Daphnia pulex: one gene and its partners. The protein of the gene in region 1 purifies or fractionates together with the protein of each later gene. This does not show direct contact. Links are inferred from orthologs where the notes say so. Each region holds a gene or a part of one and is shown in the gene's direction. Other genes may lie near its edges.

Region 1 (5,490 bases):
ACTGTGGGTTGCAACTTTTTCCAACTGTCGATAGAAAAATAAACCAAAATTTACTCTAATATAAGAAAACCGAGCACGTGGTCGTACAAAATTGGGATGTCAATTGAACGACCTTGAGTCGACAGTTTCCTGTAAAGAGAAGGGGAAAGGAAAACACGCGCCGGTTAGAAGATGTCCACTCCCCCCTCCCCATTGCAGACCAAGAAACATAAAATATTAAAGCAAGGCCACATCACTGTAATTTACTTATCTCCCTCTTCCCAAGCAAAACATTCCACATTTCAACAACTTGAGTCGAAACTTGCAAGAAAAAAAAAACACGTACAGCCATCAGTTTGACATTAGTTGACTTAAGTTAAACTCTGATCACACTTTACGTCATCAAGTTAAAATGGAGGCCATAGTGAACTGTAACGGAAAAAAGAGTTGACCTGATGACAGGCAATCGACTTAATTACATATTCTAACGAAGAATTTAGCCCGATTCTTAACACGAATCACATCGAAGAAATACTCAAATGAAAAAGTAGAAACTTACCATGATTCAAGTTGACCGGATAAATGATCAGAGCTCAGTCACGTGTGTATGGCCGGCGCGTGCGAGAAAGATTTAACGAGTCGTTGCACCACCACCTTCAAAGTCTCAGAATCAACTGTTCAGAAAAAAAGCAGAGAGGTCGATCCTTTTCGAGCCGATATCCCATCCACCGATTTCCCCAGGTCTTTTCCTCTCCATTCCTCTTTTCCGTTGGGCCAATCATGGGCGACCAGCAATTTTGAAAAACACTGCGGTCTCTTATGGCAACTCTGTGGGGCTTTGATTTCATTCAAAATTAATTAAGTTAAGCTATTTATAATTCGGAAATTCAAATACATGTTAACTGTAGTCGCGAGATGTTGCGCTTTGAATCGTTAATTACAAGGAATCTGCATTGCATTAATTCATTTTGATTTTTACAATAGTATTCGTTTCCATTTATTTTAAATGCATTCTTCTGGTATCGGAATGGATCAAAATGAACTCGTTCTACTGCTCCTATATCGTGATTTGGAGGGGATAATAAAATACTTTTTCTTTCTCCGAGATGTAGAAGTGTCTAGAGAAAAAAAAATCTGAGTTGCGTAGCTCCTCCTCCTCCAGGGGGAGGAGAAGTCTCTACCACACTCCGTTAGGACGAATGTGACGTGATCTGGTGATCATAATGACACTCGATTGCGTGATCGCAAATCTTAACTGTCGCCTGTCGGACACTCGATGGGTTGAATAAATGAATACAAATAAATCTAATTCATTTCTGTTAACCAGATAAGAATTTTCAATACAATCAGTAGTTTTTATATCCTCTAATTGTATTTAATGTAAAACAGGTACCTTATAATTATTAATTAATGCCCAATCTTTCAGAAATTTAAACAAGAAAATCTGAATCATTTTATTTATTTCATGTCGCTTCTAAGCTATAAGAAACAAAATTTATTGAAAAAAAACGTGACACGATACAACAAAAAAGTTCTAGTCGATTTCGGAGACTCATTTTCGTTGCAAAAGCACTTTCTGTTTCTGTTATTTAGCTCTTGTGGGCATTTTACCAAAATCGCCAAATATAGAATAATGGTTGAAATGGGTTGGCCTGCACATACAGCGAATAAATCCTCTCACTATTTTCCCATTATCATGTTAAGATCCTTTCACAATAGTTCACCGTAGTTTTCGTCATGGGTTCAGCAATCAGGTAATCATAAAGTAAACAATGACAGCCTCAGACTTATACGGAGAAAGTGGTTGCATGCTACAAATTCGACAGATAGACGCAAATTCGTTAACCAACTAAATTCGTTAACCAACTAAATTCGTTTTCGTTAACTTGAACATTTTATTCGGATTATTTTTCGAGTAGCATTAAACAGAAAATACATTAAAAAAAATCCTTTTTGTGTGGACTGGAGTTGAGTAAAAAGGAGTAGTTATGAGATCATTTTCGAGACTTGCCTTGACTAGTTGTTTTGAGTCGTTTTGCCGAATTTCTGATGTCACATGCGAATATGCGATCTTGCCGAACTCAATCGAACATTTTACCCATCATAATGTTGTTTCCTTTGTTTTACTTTGAAAGCAATAACTCAGTGAAACACGCAGAAAATTATGATGCATTCGAATACCAAAATATTTACCGCCAGACATCAATCAGCCATTGCCAGAAACGGGCCCTTGCTTCAGTTTTATTTATTTTTCAATTTGAAAATGGCAACCCTGGAAAAACAGTTGACGATCCACGTCATCTTGTGCCGTCAGTTCTTAGGATCTTGAATCCTCCCTGAAAAGTTGTGGTAAAAGGGGTCCGATAAAGTCTTTAGGAGCCTTTAATCTGCGCAATAATGGTATGATCAACGAACCTAAGTGTTTTTAATTTTATGAAAATATTTACTATGGGCGTTGTTGAAGTTGTCATTGGGGTTGCACAACCGGCCCATCTGACATTTGGCTAAACTTTCGTCTACGTGGATATTTTATTATGATTTCTTCAATAGTGCTTTACATCATCAAAATAACTTAAAACATTTCAATCATATAACTATGATTAACTTTGATTGTTAGGACATGCATTCTAGTATACCAGACTACTTCGGAAAGCTAGCAATACATTTTGATTTCTGAAAGATTGTGTGCTGTATCTTTAGCAACAGTAGCCTAGAAAACATGGGCTTTTAATATCGTTGAAGCAATACCAAGTTGCCAATGTTATTTCGCAACAAAAAATATGTTTGTTGTCATTTCTGTGATTTTGTTCCACTTGTGACACTTGTTCATTAATTTTCATTATTATTCAGGTTCTCATTGCAGCTGCTGTTTGCACCAAGGGTGGAAAAGGTGTGTTGCAAAGTTTTACAAAAATGATGCATAAAATAATAGAAATGACTTTTTTTTTCTCAATTACAGCCTTGGTGTCAAGACAGTTTGTGGAGATGACCAAATCCAGAATAGAAGGTCTCTTAGCTGCCTTTCCTAAACTAATGTCTTCAGGAAAAGCTGCTCAACAACAACACACTTTTGTTGAAACAGAATCGGTTAGATATGTTTATCAACCTTTAGACAAAGTGTATGTATTACTTATCACAACGAGGGCATCCAATATCTTGGAGGATTTAGAAACTTTACGTCTTTTCGCTCGTGTGGTAATAATTTATAAGATCTTCTCATTAGTAGGTTTGCTAACATTAAATTCATGTAGGTACCTGAATATTGCCGCACTTTTGAAGAATCCGAAATCCGGGAAAATGCCTTCAATTTGATATTTGCCTTTGACGAAATCGTTGCTCTTGGCTATCGCGAAAACGTTAATTTGGCTCAAATTCGAACATTTGTCGAAATGGATTCACACGAAGAGAAAGTCTACCAGGCTGTTAGACAGGTTTGGATTTTCTCATTTAAGTAGTTGTTTGGTCTTATTTCACTATTTTTTTCCCCATAAAGACACAAGAACGAGATGCCAAGATGAAAATGCGAGAGAAAGCCAAAGAATTGCAGAGACAGCGAGTTGAATCTAATAAAAGGGGCATCAAGTCTCCCATTTCATCTTCTGGAGGTTACGGGCCATCTCCCATGGCTGCTTCGATTCCGACTGAGCCTCCTAAGCCAACTTATCAACCAGCTGTTGTGTAAGTGAATTCGCTAATTATTTTTCCGCTCAACTAGTTCTTAACTGACAGCGTGGTACTTTTCTTAGAAAACCTAATGGCCCGAGCAAAGCCCTCAAGCTTGGGGGCCGTCTGAAGGACGCCGAAATATTTGTTGACCAACTAAAATCAGAAGGCGAGAATGTAAACTCGTTCCAGTCCCCCGCTTCCGTAGTCCAAGGTGGTTCTGTGAGCTCAAACAAACTGCCGCCATCAACCATCGCTACCGAACCGTAATTTACAATACCTCAATGCTTATTAAAATTTAACGCTTGACTGTAATTTCTTTTATCCAGAGTCCAACTTCGAATAGAAGAAAAGCTTAGCCTCAGTTGTGGACGTGACGGTGGATTACACAACATGGAAATTCATGGCTTACTAACACTTTTTATTACTGATGAGACTTACGGTCGAGTCCGCGTACAGGTAAAATGATTTCCTTTGCATTGTGTTTATTTTCTTTTTTCAAAATTCGACTGATTTATCCATAGGTGGAGAACAGAGATAGTCGCGGAATTCAAATTCAAACTCATCCTAACGTTGACAAGGAACTATTTCGCACTAAGCAGCACATTGCATTGAAGAATGCCACAAAACCGTTCCCATTGAATACGGATGTTGGTGTACTTAAGTGGCGTTTCCAAACACAAGACGAAAATATGATTCCACTGAACAGTAATTCATCATCTTAATTACGTTGTCTGGCAAAATTTAATGATTTAAAAAAAATTATAGTTAATTGCTGGCCAGCTGAAAACGGACGTGGAGGCTGTGACGTTAATATTGAATTCGAACTTCAAGATGATCGATTAGAGCTGAACGACGTTGTCATTGTCATTCCGTTGCCGTAAGACTTTTTTCTATTAGGCTCTAGGTGCAACTCATCATCTTTCGTTTATTCGTGTAGTCATGGTTGCGGAGCACCGAATGTTTCCGAGTGTGAAGGAGAGTATCAGTATGAACCAAGGAAAAATCAGCTTTCGTGGCAACTCCCCGTTGTGGACTCTTCCAATAAAAGTGGAGCTATGGAGTTTTCATGTCAGGGCCATGCGAATGACTTCTTCCCAATCAATGTCAACTTCTATTCGAAGCGCTCCTATGCTGAAATATCGGTACGGTTGCAATCTGTGTTTATTTATTCCATTTGTCTACAATTTTCCCATTTTCGTTGTAGGTAAATGATGTCGTACTAGTAGATGACGGCACATCGGTGAAGTATGCGGCCGATTCCAATTTTTTTACGGAGAAGTACGAAATCCTTTGAATGTTTTGCTTCTGAAATCCGTGGAAGTAGCAAAGTGTTCGTGATTTTGCCAGTTGCCCCTCACCCCCTGTCGTTAGCGTCAACACAAACAAACTGATGAACTCCTTGACTGTCAACTGGAGGAGAGGGGTGAGGAATGAGAAAGACTTTAGGTTACCATCTGTGGTTAATATTTAATGCCAACGTGCAGTTCGTTTTTCCCGTCTCTGAATCGATTCAACCTCCTCAAATTCACCCTTTTTTCTCCCACCTTTCATAACAAAGCAATTTAAAGCGCTGAAGTTTGTTGAGCCGCCCAGTAAATATGATATATTGAAATCTAAAAGTTTTTTCTTCCTTTTTTTCTACGTGCATATATCTTTGAATCAGCAGCGGCACTCATGTTTGGGCGTGTTTTCTTTTCTCTTTTCTTTCATCTCTTTTTCTTTCTCCGTTTGTTTATGTTTTCGATCAGTTAAGAGTTCAGAAAACTCTTATCATGTGTTGTCGTTGGAACAGTGTACACTGCTGGGGTTGCATGGCATACAGTATATCAATTAAAAGCTGTATTA
Region 2 (4,571 bases), on another chromosome or scaffold:
CATGCGTAGTGGAGTTGCACTCCCAGCATGTTCTCGGTATACCAGCATGTTGACTGGAAGGGTGGCTTTTTCCTTTGTTCTGACCGTACTGGGCAGGAAGTGCTTGCTCTTTGTGCTGTGATTCATCTCTGTTCGGCTTACTGAGATAGGCAGTATCAGATGTCGATTTTGCTTCTTCGTCGTTGCGCAGGCTCTTGTCCAATGCTATAAGGCGAGTAGTCAGTTTCTTGAGAGTTTTCTCTGCAACAGGCGTGCTGTCCCATGCAAAGGCAAAAACACGGAACTCTGGAGGAAGCGACATGAGTATCTTTGCCATTATTTGATTATCATCAATAGCTATGTTGAGGCTCTTCAGACGGAATGCTATCTGTTCCAACTCAGTCAGGAAGCTTGATACACTTTGGCTTGGTCGAAATGTGCATCCATAGAACTTTGTCCACAATAGAGGTGCATTGTCTGCGGCATCTTCTTCATACTCAGTCTCCAATTTCATCCACATCTCTTGGGCTGTGCTACAAGACATCAGGATCCTTGATTGGTCTTCTTTGATGGCGCCAAATATGTTCTGCATTGCCGTGGTATTTCTCTTGTTCCAGTTGGTTATATCAGCTGCATTTTCAATCACCTGGTCAGCATTGCGTCTCTGATTGTGGTAACAAAACGAGAAGATGGTTAGGTTTGTGATATCCATGGCAGCCTCACATTATCTCAATGTGGAATCTCCCTCACATCATCTCGATGTGGAATACCTCTCACATTATCTCAATGTGGAATCTCCCTCACATCATCTCGATGTGGAATACCTCTCACATTATCTCAATGTGGAATCTCCCTCACATCATCTCGATGTGGAAAAACACTCAGCTGTCTCCTAGATGCTTGCAACTCTAGCACACACTTGTCCACCATCATATGATGGAATTTAGCCAGAGTGACCAAACAGATTGAGAAAGAAACACAAAAAAAGAGAAATGTCCAGCAAACACAAACACACAAAAAACAAAATCAAGTGGCAGAGATTAAGCACTCACGCCGGGATCTAAGTTTGTCAATTTAATAGTTGGTACCACGCCACAGATAGGCATCTCATATCGCGTTGTTGTCAGGCACGGATCACACACATAAAGAAAACAATAAATCATCAATAAACTTACTTCAGCAGGTTGCCGTTGAGTCCCGTTCACGACTTCCCAAAGCTCAACACTTTGTAACGCCAGCTTCATTCCAAATTTCCAAGACGCGTAGTTTTTCCCATTCAGACACCATACAACATGGCGGCGGCCATCTTTCTCCATCACTCCAGAAAAGAATTTCTAATTTCTTGGGAACAGTTAGCCGGGGACACACACAAAAAAAATAATTGTTCAGACAGAGTAGCTGTTAGCTGTGCGTACAGCTGGGCCCATAACCTGTTGATATAGAAATTAACACGTGAACCTGTTTGCTGCAAAGAACGCTTTGTATTGCTACTCGCCTAGCCACAATCGTCAACAGCACTGAGTCCCCCTCTCTTATTCCTTTGTCTGGGTAGGTCCTTCTCCCCCTCTCTTCTTTCCTGGCTATCCTGCGTTGCCGCACTGTCCAGTTTGTTTATCTTTTATACTCAACAAGCAGTTCCTAGATGGCGCTAACGACTGGCCCTTTTGCTTTTTCCCGTATCTTTTAAAACAAAAATAGATTTATCTCGTTAATGGTTTGTGATCAGTATAGGAAATTTATAAAATTTATAAGTTAATTTTTTTAATGGTTAATATAATTTTCTTACCGACATAAGAATCGTACTCTAGTTGAAGTACTCCATGGCGATACTACGCGAAAGAAACTGCCAACGTAGCATACAGGACTACCGGTTGTCAAGTAAGAACAACTCATCAACATCTCGAACGGAACATTTTCATTCACCCGTCTGTACAACGGTTCATCTTATTTCTCTTAGCTCTTGTGTTGTGGTGTATTGCATATTGTATAAAGAAATGGATAACCATGTCCTGGTAATATAGCTACTTCTAGTACTACATTTTCTTTAATCAGCTGTGTCAGACCAACAACAAAATGATACATTTTTATAAAATTTCTTTAGGAACCTTCTCTGTATGTAATTAAAGGAATTGCAATCCTTGACAATGATGGTAAACGTATTCTTGCAAAGTACTATGACCCAAACACATTACCCACTGCAAAAGAACAGAAGGTTTTTGAAAAAAACCTATTCAACAAAACACACCGAGCTAACACGGAAATCATTATGCTAGAAAACATGACTTGTGTCTACAAAAGCAATGTGGATCTTTATTTTTATGTCATGGGAAGTAGCCATGAAAATGAGGTAAAAGATGCTCACAAGTTGTTCACAAAATATTAGTAAATTGGAATTTTTTTCCCCTTATTTAGTTGATCTTGGTTAGTGTTTTAAACTGCTTGTATGATTCCATCAGCCAAATACTTAGAAAGAATGTGGAAAAGCGTTCTCTAATGGAAAATCTTGATGTGGTTATGCTTGCTTTGGATGAAATATGTGATTCTGGGTATGGTTTCCATTCAAACATGTAATCATGACAAGTTTATCAAGATACTATTACCAGTTTACTATTGTGTTGCAGGATTATTCTGGAATCAGATCCCACTGCTATATCATACAGAGTAGCTCTTCGGAATGATGACATTCCAATTGGGGAGCAGACAGTGGCCCAGGTATGTTTGATAACTTAACTACTTAATCAGATATTTAAATAAGGTTTTTTTCAATTTAATTAAATTTAAAATTGAAATTAGTTTGAAATTTTCATTTTCCAGCAGCTACTTCTAAACTAAACAATATACATTTTAAAAATTACTATAATTAAGGGAGAAGATCAATAAATTCTTTAATTATTTCCGTCTGATTTTTTAGGTGCTTCAATCGGCAAAGGAGCAGCTAAAATGGTCTCTTCTGAAATAAGGATCTAAACTATTTCAACCACAATAAATTCCGGTCGTTGAATCATCCTTATCATTATTTTTCTCCTTTTCCAAGTTGTTCTATAAAAAAAATACAAATCTGTTCTGTTGATGCCATCTTTATCAAAATAGCAGATAAATAATTAAAATCAATCCACCGTATTAGAAATTAAATTTTTTGTAACTTGTAACACGCATTATATAACCTGATGGTGTGCTTGGTATTTTACAGCGATCTTTAAAAGATTGTTTTCATTCATCAAAGAATAGTTTGCCTTTTTCTGACATTTACTTCGGGTTTACAAACGAATGAAAGCACAAAAGAAATTTGTTTCTATCACAACAGAGATGTGAATTTCCAATATTTTTCAGGTTGCACTGTAATTTAGGTGAAATGTTCTTGGTTTTAATTCGGATAGAACGTTATTCTCTTACAGTACAGCTTAAGTACAGCATTACACCAACTAAAGTTTGCCAGTTCATTTCGAAGTTATTGATAACGTCAATCTTTCGTCGATTAAAAGGTAAAAAAAAAAAAAAAAAAAAAAACGTTTCACTCGTCGTGTCTTTATAACGATATTGAATTCCAGGCTTGGACAGAGCGCATCAGTTTTTCGCTCCGTTGATCTATCAGCGATAAGCGGTGATTTAATCGACCCAATTGAAAAGGATCGGTAACGAATCGTTGTGTTTTTTTTTTTTTGTTTTTTTTTGGTCGAGTTCCAGAATTTTCTACCAACAACTTCGAAGTTCGACAATCCAAAATGATCCTTTAGCCTTGCGTTTCCCTTATCTTCGTTGAGTTTATAACATACAGCGCGATCATATTCAAATAGCCACAAAGAAAGGAAAAGGCGGTAAAATTCGACAAAAATAGAAATCAAATGATAACGCAATAACTTCATATTAAAGTGGATTGCTCTGTGCCTAGTTAATCGATTATTGATAGCAGATTGATCAGTGTTTGGCTAAAGATCGGAATCAGCATCTTTTTTTGAGAACAGCATAGGTAAAAATGAATATCGAGCGGTCGTGTCCCTCTTGGATTGAGCTCCTGATTTTTCTACCAACAACTTTGCCAATCCAAAATGATCCTTTGGCGTTGCGTTTTCCTTATCTTCGTTGAGTTTTACATACAACGCGTTCATATTCAAATAGTCTGAGCTGACAGACGACTCCATGTGACTGCAGATAATCTCCTCCATTTGACTGAAAGTGGGTCTCTCTTTCGGATCCGATTTCCAGCAATCGGCCATCATTTCACCGAAGAAGTTGGGCGCCAGTTCCGGTTTGTCCATCCGATATCCTTTCAGAATTTCTTTCATGAGTATGTGACCAACGTCCATACCTAAATTAACAGAAATATATTCGGAATAACCTACGGTTAATTATAAATTAGGGAAACATAAATTCGAACCTGGGTAGGGAACTTGGCCTAAAGAAAAGAGTTCCCAGAGAAGAACTCCGTACGACCACACGTCGGATTGGCTGGAGAAGATGCGATCAATCAAATATTCAATCGCCATCCACTTGACCGGCATCAACCCCTAACATTCAACAAAATATTATTGGAAGGAATCATGGAGATAATAAGTTTAAATTTCAATTACTTGTCCTTTTTTTTCGTAATTGTC
Region 3 (4,098 bases), on another chromosome or scaffold:
TGGATGCGTTTTACTTCGTGATACGGAAGGCTTGACCTTATTTGATATCCAACAGAAACGTAGTGCTGGACAGGTAATAAAACTAAGCAAGTAGGTCATTCCAAGAACAACCATGTTCATTCAAAATTTTCTATGCAGGTTAAAATGACCAAATGTCGCCATGTCGTTTGGTCGGCGGACATGAGTCACGTTGCATTACTGGGCAAGCACGTCTTGACCATCGCCAACCGTCGTCTTGAAGTGCTGTGCACCATCCAGGAGAACGCCAGACTCAAGTCTGCTACCTGGGAAGATTCGGGTGTTCTGATCTACACCACTAGCCACCACATCAAGTATTCATTGATCAACGGCGATCACGGCATCATCCGCACCCTAGATCTGCCCGTGTATCTCACCCGTGTCAAGGGCAAGGCTATCTACTGTTTGGATCGCGATGCCCGTCCTCGCATGTTCCAGGTGGATCCCACCGAATACTGCTTCAAGTTGGCCCTGGTCAACCGAAAGTACGACGAAGTGTTGCACATGGTTCGACACGCCAAACTTGTCGGCCAATCGATCATCGCTTATTTGCAGCAAAAAGGTTATCCAGAGGTTGCCCTACACTTTGTCAAAGACGAAAAGACTCGACTGGCCCTGGCTCTCCAATGTGGCAACATTGAAGCAGCTCTTGAAGCCGCCAAGGCTCTAGACGACAAGTTCTGTTGGGAGAAACTTGGCGAAGCTGCCCTTCTTCAAGGTCAGGATTCTCGCTATTAGTTTTTTTTTAATGATGTTTAACTTACTTTATATTGGATCTGTAGGCAACCACCAGGTCGTTGAGATGTGCTATCAAAGGACAAAGAATTTCAACAAGTTGGCCTTTTTGTATCTGATTACTGGCAACCTCGACAAGCTAAGAAAGATGATGAAGATTGCTGAAATTCGCAAGGACACTTCGGGTCAATACCAATCGGCCCTTTTGCTAGGGGATATGCAAGAACGTGTCAAGGTGCTTCGTAACTGCGGACAGGTAATACGGGACGGTTCAGTTAACTAAGTTTTGAATGATAGTAATGTTTAAACATGGTCTAGACGAGCTTGGCTTTCCTTACTGCCGCTACCCATGGGCTTAATGAAGAGGCCGAACTACTGCAACAACAACTGGAAGCAGCCGGTCAACCAGTACCTACTGTAAATCCATCTGCTGTGTTCTTGCAGCCGCCTCCTCCAATTGCTCAGGCGGAATCCAACTGGCCATTGTTGACCGTTTCCAAGGTACGCCATTGTTCATTTGATAGATTTTAATGGGAGGGAACTTTAACATTTGAAATGAACTGGAACAGGGATTTTTCGATGGAGCCATGGCAGCTCGTACCATTGCTTCTGGATCTGCTGTTGCTACCGAGGAAGATGCCGGTGAACCTGATGGCTGGGGAGATGATGCTGATCTTGGTCTTGATGATGAAGATAAACCGGTTGGATCGGCTGGCAATGCCGAGAGCGGAGATGAAGAAGGTGGCTGGGAAGTGGGTGATGAAGATTTAGAGTTACCATCCGATTTGAGCGTTGCTGCTCATGGAGGTGAAGACGAAGACCGCGGTTATTACGTGCCACCCACTCGTGGTCAGCCTCCTCTGCAAGGATGGGCCACTCATTCGCAATTGGTTATTGATCACGCTTCAGCTGGCTCCTATGAATCTGCTTTCCGTCTCCTCCATGACCAGATTGGTGTCGTTAATTTTGCACCGTTCAAGTACGTACAATAACTGTTAATTCCTTCGTCATTTGCTTATAACATAGCGTTTCTTTCTACTCCGTTAGGCCATTGTTTACCGCAGCCTTCGCCAAATCACGAACTATGTTTGCTGGATTGCCTAATCTACCTTCCCTGGCCGCATACCCACAGCGTAACTGGAGGGAAGTTGCTGCCTCCTCTAAAGTTCACGGATTACCTGCACTTGGTGTTCGCTTGGCTGATTTAGCTCAAAGGCTTCAGGTAGGCCATCATTTTATTTTATTTTTTTTTTTTCAATTTGGGAAAGTAGTTAAATTATATTTAATTCGGTTGACAGATCTGCTATCAACTGACGACTGCTGGCAAATTCAACGAAGCTGTTGATCGTTTCCGCCTGCTTTTGTTAAATGTTCCACTCTTGGTGGTCGACAACAAAGAAGAAGTTCGCAAGGCCCAAGAATTAATTGCCATCTGTCGGGAGTATATTGTTGGCCTTAGCATGGAAGCTGCTCGTAAAGATTTGCCCAAGGAGAGTTTAGAGGATCAGAAGCGTAGCTGTGAAATGGCAGCCTACTTCACCCACTCAGAGCTGCAACCCATCCATCAGATCTTAACTTTGAGAACGGCGCTGAATCTTAGTTTCAAACTCAAAAACTTCCGCACTGCGGCCTCCTTTGCCCGGCGCCTCCTGGAACTTGGACCTAAACCCGAAGTGGCGCAACAAACTCGCAAAATCCTTCAGGTACTTCATCTGGAAGTTTATTGTGGTAACTCATGCTCAATTTTTTTTTATTTTGTGTCCACAGGCATGCGATAAAGGTGCAAATGATGAAGTCCAGCTCCACTACGATGAGCACAACCCGTTCAACTTGTGCGCTAAAACTTACACGCCCATCTATCGCGGAAAACCAGAAGAAAAGTGCCCTCTTTGTAGTTCAATTTACCAACCTTCATTGAAGGGATCCTTGTGTCAAGTTTGTACCGTTGCTGAAATTGGAAAGGATTGCATCGGATTGCGGATTAGTACCGCCCAATTTCGATAAACGAAACGTTCGTGTCCCTTGATAATTCCAGTATCGTTTATTTTATCAACTGGCCGAACCCCAGTCTTTTGATCAACAGTTTGTTATTTTTCTTTCGCTATTTGCTATGTTGGTTTGTTAATTTTGGGGTACTAGATACATTGAAGTTATACAACAAACACCTTTGGAGAACCAGTTCTAATTCAAGTATAAACTATAAAGCTATCTTCTAAACATATCCGTGTTGCTTGATTTATTTTCTGGAATTCTCGATACAAACTGATCATAATATAAAACTGTTTAATTGAGACATTACAGCTTTAAAATCAACATTATCGGGGTTTACGTTGGTAAACAAATCATAAGTTGAACAAATCACCTTTGGGTCCAAGATCTGATCTTCCAGAGGTCTACAGGTTATTTTATACACAAATATTAGACCTGATATCACAATTGAGATTCCTATGGGACAGAGCAAATGCCATGGCTTAAGCTTCTTTTCTTGATCCCCTAATTCAGGTTCTGGCTGAGTTAGATGATTCCATTTGTCAAGCAGACTAGTGATAGTGTTGTTCTCCTGTCAAGGATCAAAGAAATAATACTTGTAGGAGGTCAAAGTACAGTAACTGTTGTCTACCTGTACTCCAACATCCTGTCCTAAGCTCCCCATCCACCTCATGTTTGCATTTTTCAATATTTGGGCAGACATGTTGAGAACATTGAGGATTTCATTTTTCAGACGATAGAGCTTGGTCTGATTTTGAGTGATGTAAGCTATGCAAGAAGGACGCACACCTCCTCTTGCCTGAGAATCCTTCAAAGTAAAGTAATGAAGGATGGCATGGAAATTCTGAATGATGTTGGTCCGAATGCAAGGCACATCAGATATTTCATCCAACTTTTCCCTGTGGGATTAAAATAGTATGAAATAACCCAAAGAATTTTTGAATAATTTAAAATAAATACCCTGGAAAATTCTGATAATCTGTTGTCATTATGTAAAGAAGAAATTCATCCAGATTGAAATTCTCATTGTTATTCAGATGAGGTAGAACAGCTGGGATAGTCAAAACACAACGAGGCCCTTCGACTTCACAGAATTCGCTTATTAGAATAAAGTCTCTAATCGTTTGGCTACTAGCCATGTTATTATTGATTATTACAAAGACTTTTCATTAGGCTGTACAAGCAATTTAACGTGCAAATATTTATTTAAGTTACCCATACGAAGTAAGTACAATGACAATCACATTAAACCAACATTGTGTTGATTTTGAAAGACGAGTGAACTTTTGTCTTGGTGACAGTCCAGCAGGGACGTCTGCTAGGTGGTTCGTGGTGGTGACAAAATTTGTTGCTAGA
Region 4 (5,431 bases), on another chromosome or scaffold:
CTTCCTTTGAATCAACTTCCAGAACAAATGTAGGCACACTCATCTTCTTCAATACTACTGGAAGTTCGACAGGTTTCAGAATTTCAAATTTTGTTTCTTCTGTGAACAATATACAGCACAATAAGATAAAAATTGTTAAAAATATTCAATAAATGTTATTTCACCTTGATCTCCATTTAATGGAGTAGCTATTTCATGAGAATATGGTTCTGACGACTCACTAATAGATGGTTCTTCTAAGTCCTGTAACTCTTTAAAATCAGAGCCCTTTAAAGCCTCAGAAATGAATTTTTTGTGTGAATGTGATTTGCATTTTGCATTCTCTTTCTCTGGATTAACTTCCAGAGCAAATCTGGGCACACTCTTCTTCACTAATACTGCTGGAAGCTGGACAGGTTTTAAGTTTTCAACTTTTTGTTCTTCTGTGAACAATATAGAGCACATTAAAATCATTTTTTTTTCTTTTTACTTGAATAAGAATCACCTTTTTCTTCATTTAATGGAGTAGCTACTTCATTAGAATATATTTCTGATGACTCACTAGATTGTTCTTTAAAGTACTGTAACACTGTAGAATCTGAGCTCTTTGAAGACTCGGAAATTAATTTGTTGACTGAATTAGGTGAGTTCTTTGTTAACAAATATTGAGCATCAATTTTTTGCTTTGCTGGAATAGCTTTCACAACTAATGTAGGCACAGTTTTCTTCACTGATATTACTGAAGGCTCATCAGATTTTAAGTTTTCTTGTTCTGTGAATAATAATATGGCACAATATTAAATTTTGTTTTGTACTCTTAAAATGTTATCTTACCTTGGTTTTCATTCAATGAAGTAGCCACTTCATTAGAATATGTTTCTGATGACTCACTAGACTGTTCTTCAAAGTGCTGTATCACTTTTTTAACCGAGCCTTTCGAAGCCCCAGCAGACTCTTTATTCTCTTCAGCTGCTAGTTCCAGCACAGTATTAATCCTTGTCGAACTATTATCCAAATAAGATCGAAAATCCACGTCTTTTTTGTCTTCTTGGTACTAGAGTAGTATGTATAAATCGCAAGAGTTAGAATCAGGTCTGCATAGCTCTTTGAAGAGAATTTGACATTAAAATACCTTAGTGAAGAAGGAACTCCAAAAATTATCTCTTTCTTGTAAAATTCCTTCCCAGCATTTTTTCAATCTGTCCATCGTGTTGGATTGTCATTTCATAGTTTCGAAATTATTGATCCATTATTTCAACAAGTAGGCCACTCTCTTAACACCAACAAGAACATAGCATCCGACGCTTTCGAGTTTTGAATTCACCTTTGCAACTTAATTTCGTCTGCTATAACTTTTGCAACAGTGTTTATCTGACAATTAGGTGATGATTGAAAATTTGAAACATATTATTCCAGAATATATGGATGAAGGAAAAATGTGGTGTATTATTCACAATTGTATCATCAAAATTAAAAATAAGAATCAAAAGACCCCAAGTAATTCCCTGAGGATTGCTTGTTTCAGGCAATCAAGAAAAATGAATTGCAAAAATTTTCAGCAGTTAATTCATTATCTTGATCCAATCTTTAAAACTGGATTTTTTTTGTATGACATGTAATCATCATATTTGAAGAATGAAATTTCAGTTTCATGTCTTACATCACTCTCCTTGAGTGTCCTTTCCGCTTTAAGGATGAGACCTTCATCATTCTCGTGGTTAATGACAGGATCATTTGTTTTAGCTCCATGTGCATGGTGCTCAATCTGTAGAAAACCATAGAAAAAACAACAAATACATAAAAATAGCAGTAAGATGTTATTCAAATAACCTTCAAAGTGTCATATTCGTATTTTCGAAAAGGTGGTGGCAGTCCCGGAGCAACACCCAACTCTTGAATTATTCTAGTTTTCAACTCTTCAGTTGTAAGGGAAAGTGGTACATTCTTTAAAACCACATTGCGAATGTTTCGATATTCAAACGACCGGATGACTCGAATAATGATCGTGGCTGTCTCCATTGATAAATTGTGCGGGGCAGTTTGTTTTGAACTGATGTGATGTTGCCACTGTCGAAATAGTTTAACAAATTTTGAATTATTACAGGGTACGCTTAAAATGTATAGAATAAATAGCTCATAATAGTTTTGAAAATTACACTCCCGACGAGGTCACACAATATTAGTAAAAGCTGATAGAAAAGAAGCAATTTAGTATTTTGGCTAATGATTCTATCTGGCAATGTTTATTTGTGCTCCACTCCTCCCCCAGTGATGACAGATCAACCGGCCACGTAGTAGAACTATTCAACAATCCTCACAACAAAATGGTTTAACATTAATACTACTTGTTTAAATCATAACAATTATTGAGCTAATTTCATGTTATAATTTTTTATAGCCGCTGAAACTAGATATCAAGAGAAGGCTTACCGCCCGTTCGGATCGCGTGAAAAGTGTCGACTTGCATCCAACAGAGCCATGGATGTTGGCCTCCTTGTATAATGGAAATGTGCATATTTGGAACCATGAATCACAACAAATCATCAAATCTTTTGAGGTAAAATGAGTACTTCATTGAATTCTTCCTTAATGACTTGACCATTACTTGCCCTTTTGTAGGTTTGTGACCTGCCTGTTCGTGCTGTCAAGTTTGTCCCAAGGAAAAACTGGGTTGTTAGTGGTTCTGATGATATGCAGGTATAGTTTTCTTGATGTCTTATCCATTTCAGATTAGATATAGTTTAATCCTCTTTAAATTGTTCCAGGTCAGAGTGTTCAACTACAACACACTTGATCGTGTGACAGCATTTGAAGCTCATTCAGACTATGTTCGTTGCATTGCTGTGCACCCCACTCAACCCTTTCTATTAACTAGCAGTGGTATGTAAATAATCTGTTTTTCTAACAGATTCAGTGTTCATACAGTCTTTCTTCATTTTAGATGATATGTCAATTAAGTTGTGGAATTGGGAAAAGAACTGGGCATGCCAACAAGTCTTTGAGGGTCACACCCATTATGTTATGCAGATTGTCATCAATCCAAAAGATAACAATACATTTGCTACTGCATCTCTTGATAGAACAGTCAAGGTATGTTTTTACGAAAATATTTTGCCAGAAATTTAACTTAAAATCAATTTATTACGGTCCCTCATTCAGGTCTGGCAGTTGGGCTCGAACACACCGAATTTCACTCTTGAAGGCCACGAGAAAGGAGTAAATTGCGTCGACTATTACCACGCCGGCGACAAACCTTACTTAATTTCAGGTGCAGATGATCGGCTTGTTAAAATTTGGGATTACCAGAATAAAACCTGCGTCCAAACTTTGGAAGGGCATGCACAGAATATTTCTTCTGTTGCCTTCCACCCCGAACTTCCAATTCTGCTTACTGGATCTGAAGATGGAACAGTCAGGTAAATTTATTATTCTCTTTATTTATTTTTTAGTCAAGTATACTATTTTCTCTAAATCGTAGAGTATGGCATTCAAATACCTACCGGTTGGAGACTACTCTCAATTATGGGCTGGAGCGTGTCTGGACCATTTGTTGTTTGCCTGGGTCTAATAACATCGCTTTGGGCTACGATGAAGGATCTATCATGATTAAATTGGGCCGAGAGGAACCTGCAATGTCCATGGATCAAAGCGGTAAAATTATCTGGGCCAAACATTCAGAGATCCAGCAGGCCAATCTCAAAGCGCTGCCGGACTCGGAGATCAAGGATGGAGAACGTCTTCCTCTTGCCATCAAGGATATGGGTGCATGCGAGATTTACCCTCAAACTGTCGCTCACAATCCAAACGGAAGGTATGTTTGCTAACTGCTCATGGCATAGAAACCAGTAAATAATAAAATTCCGTTTCATAATAGATTCGTCGTTGTTTGTGGTGACGGCGAGTACATCATCTATACAGCTATGGCTCTGCGAAACAAAGCTTTCGGTTCAGCTTTGGAGTTTGTGTGGGCAGTGGACTCATCCGAGTATGCTGTTCGTGAAAGTGCCACGTCGGTCAAAGTTTTTAAGAACTTCAAGGAAAAGAAACAATTCAAACCAGAGCTGGGAGCCGAAGGTATATTGTGCATAGTAATTGAAAACAGAATGAAATATTGATTCTAATTAAAATTTTACATTCACAGGAATCTTTGGTGGAGCAATGCTTGGGGTCCGGTCTACCAACAGCTTAGCTTTTTACGAATGGGACAATCTGACACTGATTCGTCGGATTGAGATCCAGCCACGTGGTGTGTATTGGTCGGAAAATGGTGAATTAGTTTGCATTTCTACCGAAGACAGCTATTTTGTTTTGCGTTATGATGCTGATGCCGTGGCCAAAAGCCTTGAAACCAAAGAAGGCTTGACCGACGATGCCGGAATTGAGGTGATTTTATTTAAAGACAAAGTGTTAGTACATTTTTAAAAAATATTTTCTGAATGTTTAGACGGCGTTCGAAATGTTATCTGAAGTGCAAGAAAGTGTTAAGACGGGACTTTGGGTGGGCGATTGCTTTATCTACACCAACAGTGCCAACCGATTAAATTATTACGTCGGTGGGGAAATTGTCACAGTGGCCCATCTCGACAGGTATGGCTTGAAAGTTCACCATTCTTGCAATAATCAAACCGATACTATTAAACCCATGTGTAACTTTTGTTTCCAGAGTGATGTACTTGTTGGGCTACATTCCCAAGGACAACAGTCTTTACTTGGGCGACAAGGAGCTAAATGTAGTTTCCTACGGCCTGCAACTCTCGGTGCTTGAATATCAAACCGCAGTTATGCGACGAGACTTCGAAACAGCTGACCGAGTGCTCCCGTCGGTTCCCAAAGAGCAACGCACTCGAGTGGCTCATTTTCTTGAGAAGCAGGGATTCAAAGAACAGGCATTGGCAGTCTCCGCTGATCCTGAGCATCGCTTCGAACTGTCACTTCAGCTTGGTCAATTGCAACTGGCCTACCAACTAGCCTGCGAGGCTCAGAGTGAGCACAAGTGGAAACAACTTGCTGATCTGGCCACAACCAAATGTCAGTTTGAGTTGGCTCAAGAGTGTCTTCACAAGGCACAGGATTTCGGAGGACTCCTACTTTTGGCTACAGCATCCGGTATGTCATTTTACATTGTTTCGTCCTTTGTTCAGATAGTTAATATGTTGAATGTTCAGGTAATGCCGAAATGGTGCAGCGATTAGGCGATGACGCAATTGGAGCTGGCATGAACAACGTTGCCTTTTTGACGCGCTTCCTGAGTGGCGATTTGAACGCTTGCCTTGAGATCTTGATCAACACCCAACGCATTCCCGAGGCTGCCTTCTTTGCTCGCACTTATCTGCCTAGCCAAATCTCGCGCGTGGTCCAGCTCTGGAAGCTCAGTCTTAGCCAGGTCAATGCAAAAGCTAGCCAAAGCCTGGCTGATCCTGCCCAGTATGACAATCTCTTCCCTGGCTTGATG

What was found.
Region 2: the proteins of coatomer subunit delta-like (region 1) and coatomer subunit zeta-1-like fractionate together in Homo sapiens (co-fractionation; 5 studies listed by BioGRID and IntAct, with this or other methods). This does not show direct contact. The link is inferred for Daphnia pulex from reciprocal best matches to the Homo sapiens genes ARCN1 and COPZ1.
Region 3: the proteins of coatomer subunit delta-like (region 1) and coatomer subunit alpha-like fractionate together in Homo sapiens (co-fractionation; 4 studies listed by BioGRID and IntAct, with this or other methods). This does not show direct contact. The link is inferred for Daphnia pulex from reciprocal best matches to the Homo sapiens genes ARCN1 and COPA.
Region 4: the proteins of coatomer subunit delta-like (region 1) and coatomer subunit beta'-like fractionate together in Homo sapiens (co-fractionation; 5 studies listed by BioGRID and IntAct, with this or other methods). This does not show direct contact. The link is inferred for Daphnia pulex from reciprocal best matches to the Homo sapiens genes ARCN1 and COPB2.

The regions. Positions count from the first base shown.
Region 1 is NC_060022.1:6,327,918-6,333,407, forward strand, and holds the start of coatomer subunit delta-like, read left to right. Parts: upstream 1-2,241; 5' UTR 2,242-2,376; coding exon 2,377-2,379; intron 2,380-2,829; coding exon 2,830-2,869; intron 2,870-2,938; coding exon 2,939-3,174; intron 3,175-3,230; coding exon 3,231-3,410; intron 3,411-3,472; coding exon 3,473-3,657; intron 3,658-3,725; coding exon 3,726-3,908; intron 3,909-3,971; coding exon 3,972-4,101; intron 4,102-4,166; coding exon 4,167-4,350; intron 4,351-4,410; coding exon 4,411-4,522; intron 4,523-4,582; coding exon 4,583-4,787; intron 4,788-4,849; coding exon 4,850-4,939; 3' UTR 4,940-5,490. Other genes in the region: uncharacterized protein LOC124195439, read right to left, coding at 1-24, 539-541. UniProt on the Homo sapiens protein: Component of the coatomer, a cytosolic protein complex that binds to dilysine motifs and reversibly associates with Golgi non-clathrin-coated vesicles, which further mediate biosynthetic protein transport from the ER, via the Golgi up to the trans Golgi network.
Region 2 is NC_060024.1:1,293,726-1,298,296, reverse strand, and holds coatomer subunit zeta-1-like, read left to right. Parts: upstream 1-1,609; 5' UTR 1,610-1,799; coding exon 1,800-1,991; intron 1,992-2,080; coding exon 2,081-2,326; intron 2,327-2,391; coding exon 2,392-2,525; intron 2,526-2,600; coding exon 2,601-2,691; intron 2,692-2,890; coding exon 2,891-2,938; 3' UTR 2,939-3,047; downstream 3,048-4,571. Other genes in the region: fibroblast growth factor receptor 2-like, read right to left, coding at 3,906-4,285, 4,355-4,478; vascular endothelial growth factor receptor 2-like, read right to left, coding at 4,533-4,571. UniProt on the Homo sapiens protein: The coatomer is a cytosolic protein complex that binds to dilysine motifs and reversibly associates with Golgi non-clathrin-coated vesicles, which further mediate biosynthetic protein transport from the ER, via the Golgi up to the trans Golgi network.
Region 3 is NC_060025.1:3,024,587-3,028,684, forward strand, and holds the end of coatomer subunit alpha-like, read left to right. Parts: coding exon 1-73; intron 74-138; coding exon 139-736; intron 737-800; coding exon 801-1,009; intron 1,010-1,071; coding exon 1,072-1,254; intron 1,255-1,322; coding exon 1,323-1,732; intron 1,733-1,800; coding exon 1,801-1,975; intron 1,976-2,051; coding exon 2,052-2,456; intron 2,457-2,520; coding exon 2,521-2,757; 3' UTR 2,758-3,019; downstream 3,020-4,098. Other genes in the region: guanine nucleotide exchange protein smcr8a-like, read right to left, coding at 3,020-3,313, 3,374-3,641, 3,703-3,881. UniProt on the Homo sapiens protein: The coatomer is a cytosolic protein complex that binds to dilysine motifs and reversibly associates with Golgi non-clathrin-coated vesicles, which further mediate biosynthetic protein transport from the ER, via the Golgi up to the trans Golgi network.
Region 4 is NC_060017.1:7,291,500-7,296,930, forward strand, and holds the start of coatomer subunit beta'-like, read left to right. Parts: upstream 1-2,138; 5' UTR 2,139-2,303; coding exon 2,304-2,306; intron 2,307-2,377; coding exon 2,378-2,536; intron 2,537-2,598; coding exon 2,599-2,676; intron 2,677-2,744; coding exon 2,745-2,859; intron 2,860-2,920; coding exon 2,921-3,069; intron 3,070-3,138; coding exon 3,139-3,395; intron 3,396-3,457; coding exon 3,458-3,790; intron 3,791-3,853; coding exon 3,854-4,053; intron 4,054-4,120; coding exon 4,121-4,362; intron 4,363-4,423; coding exon 4,424-4,566; intron 4,567-4,642; coding exon 4,643-5,085; intron 5,086-5,144; coding exon 5,145-5,431. Other genes in the region: uncharacterized protein LOC124197376, read right to left, coding at 1-99, 165-422, 485-751, 814-1,033, 1,112-1,186. UniProt on the Homo sapiens protein: The coatomer is a cytosolic protein complex that binds to dilysine motifs and reversibly associates with Golgi non-clathrin-coated vesicles, which further mediate biosynthetic protein transport from the ER, via the Golgi up to the trans Golgi network.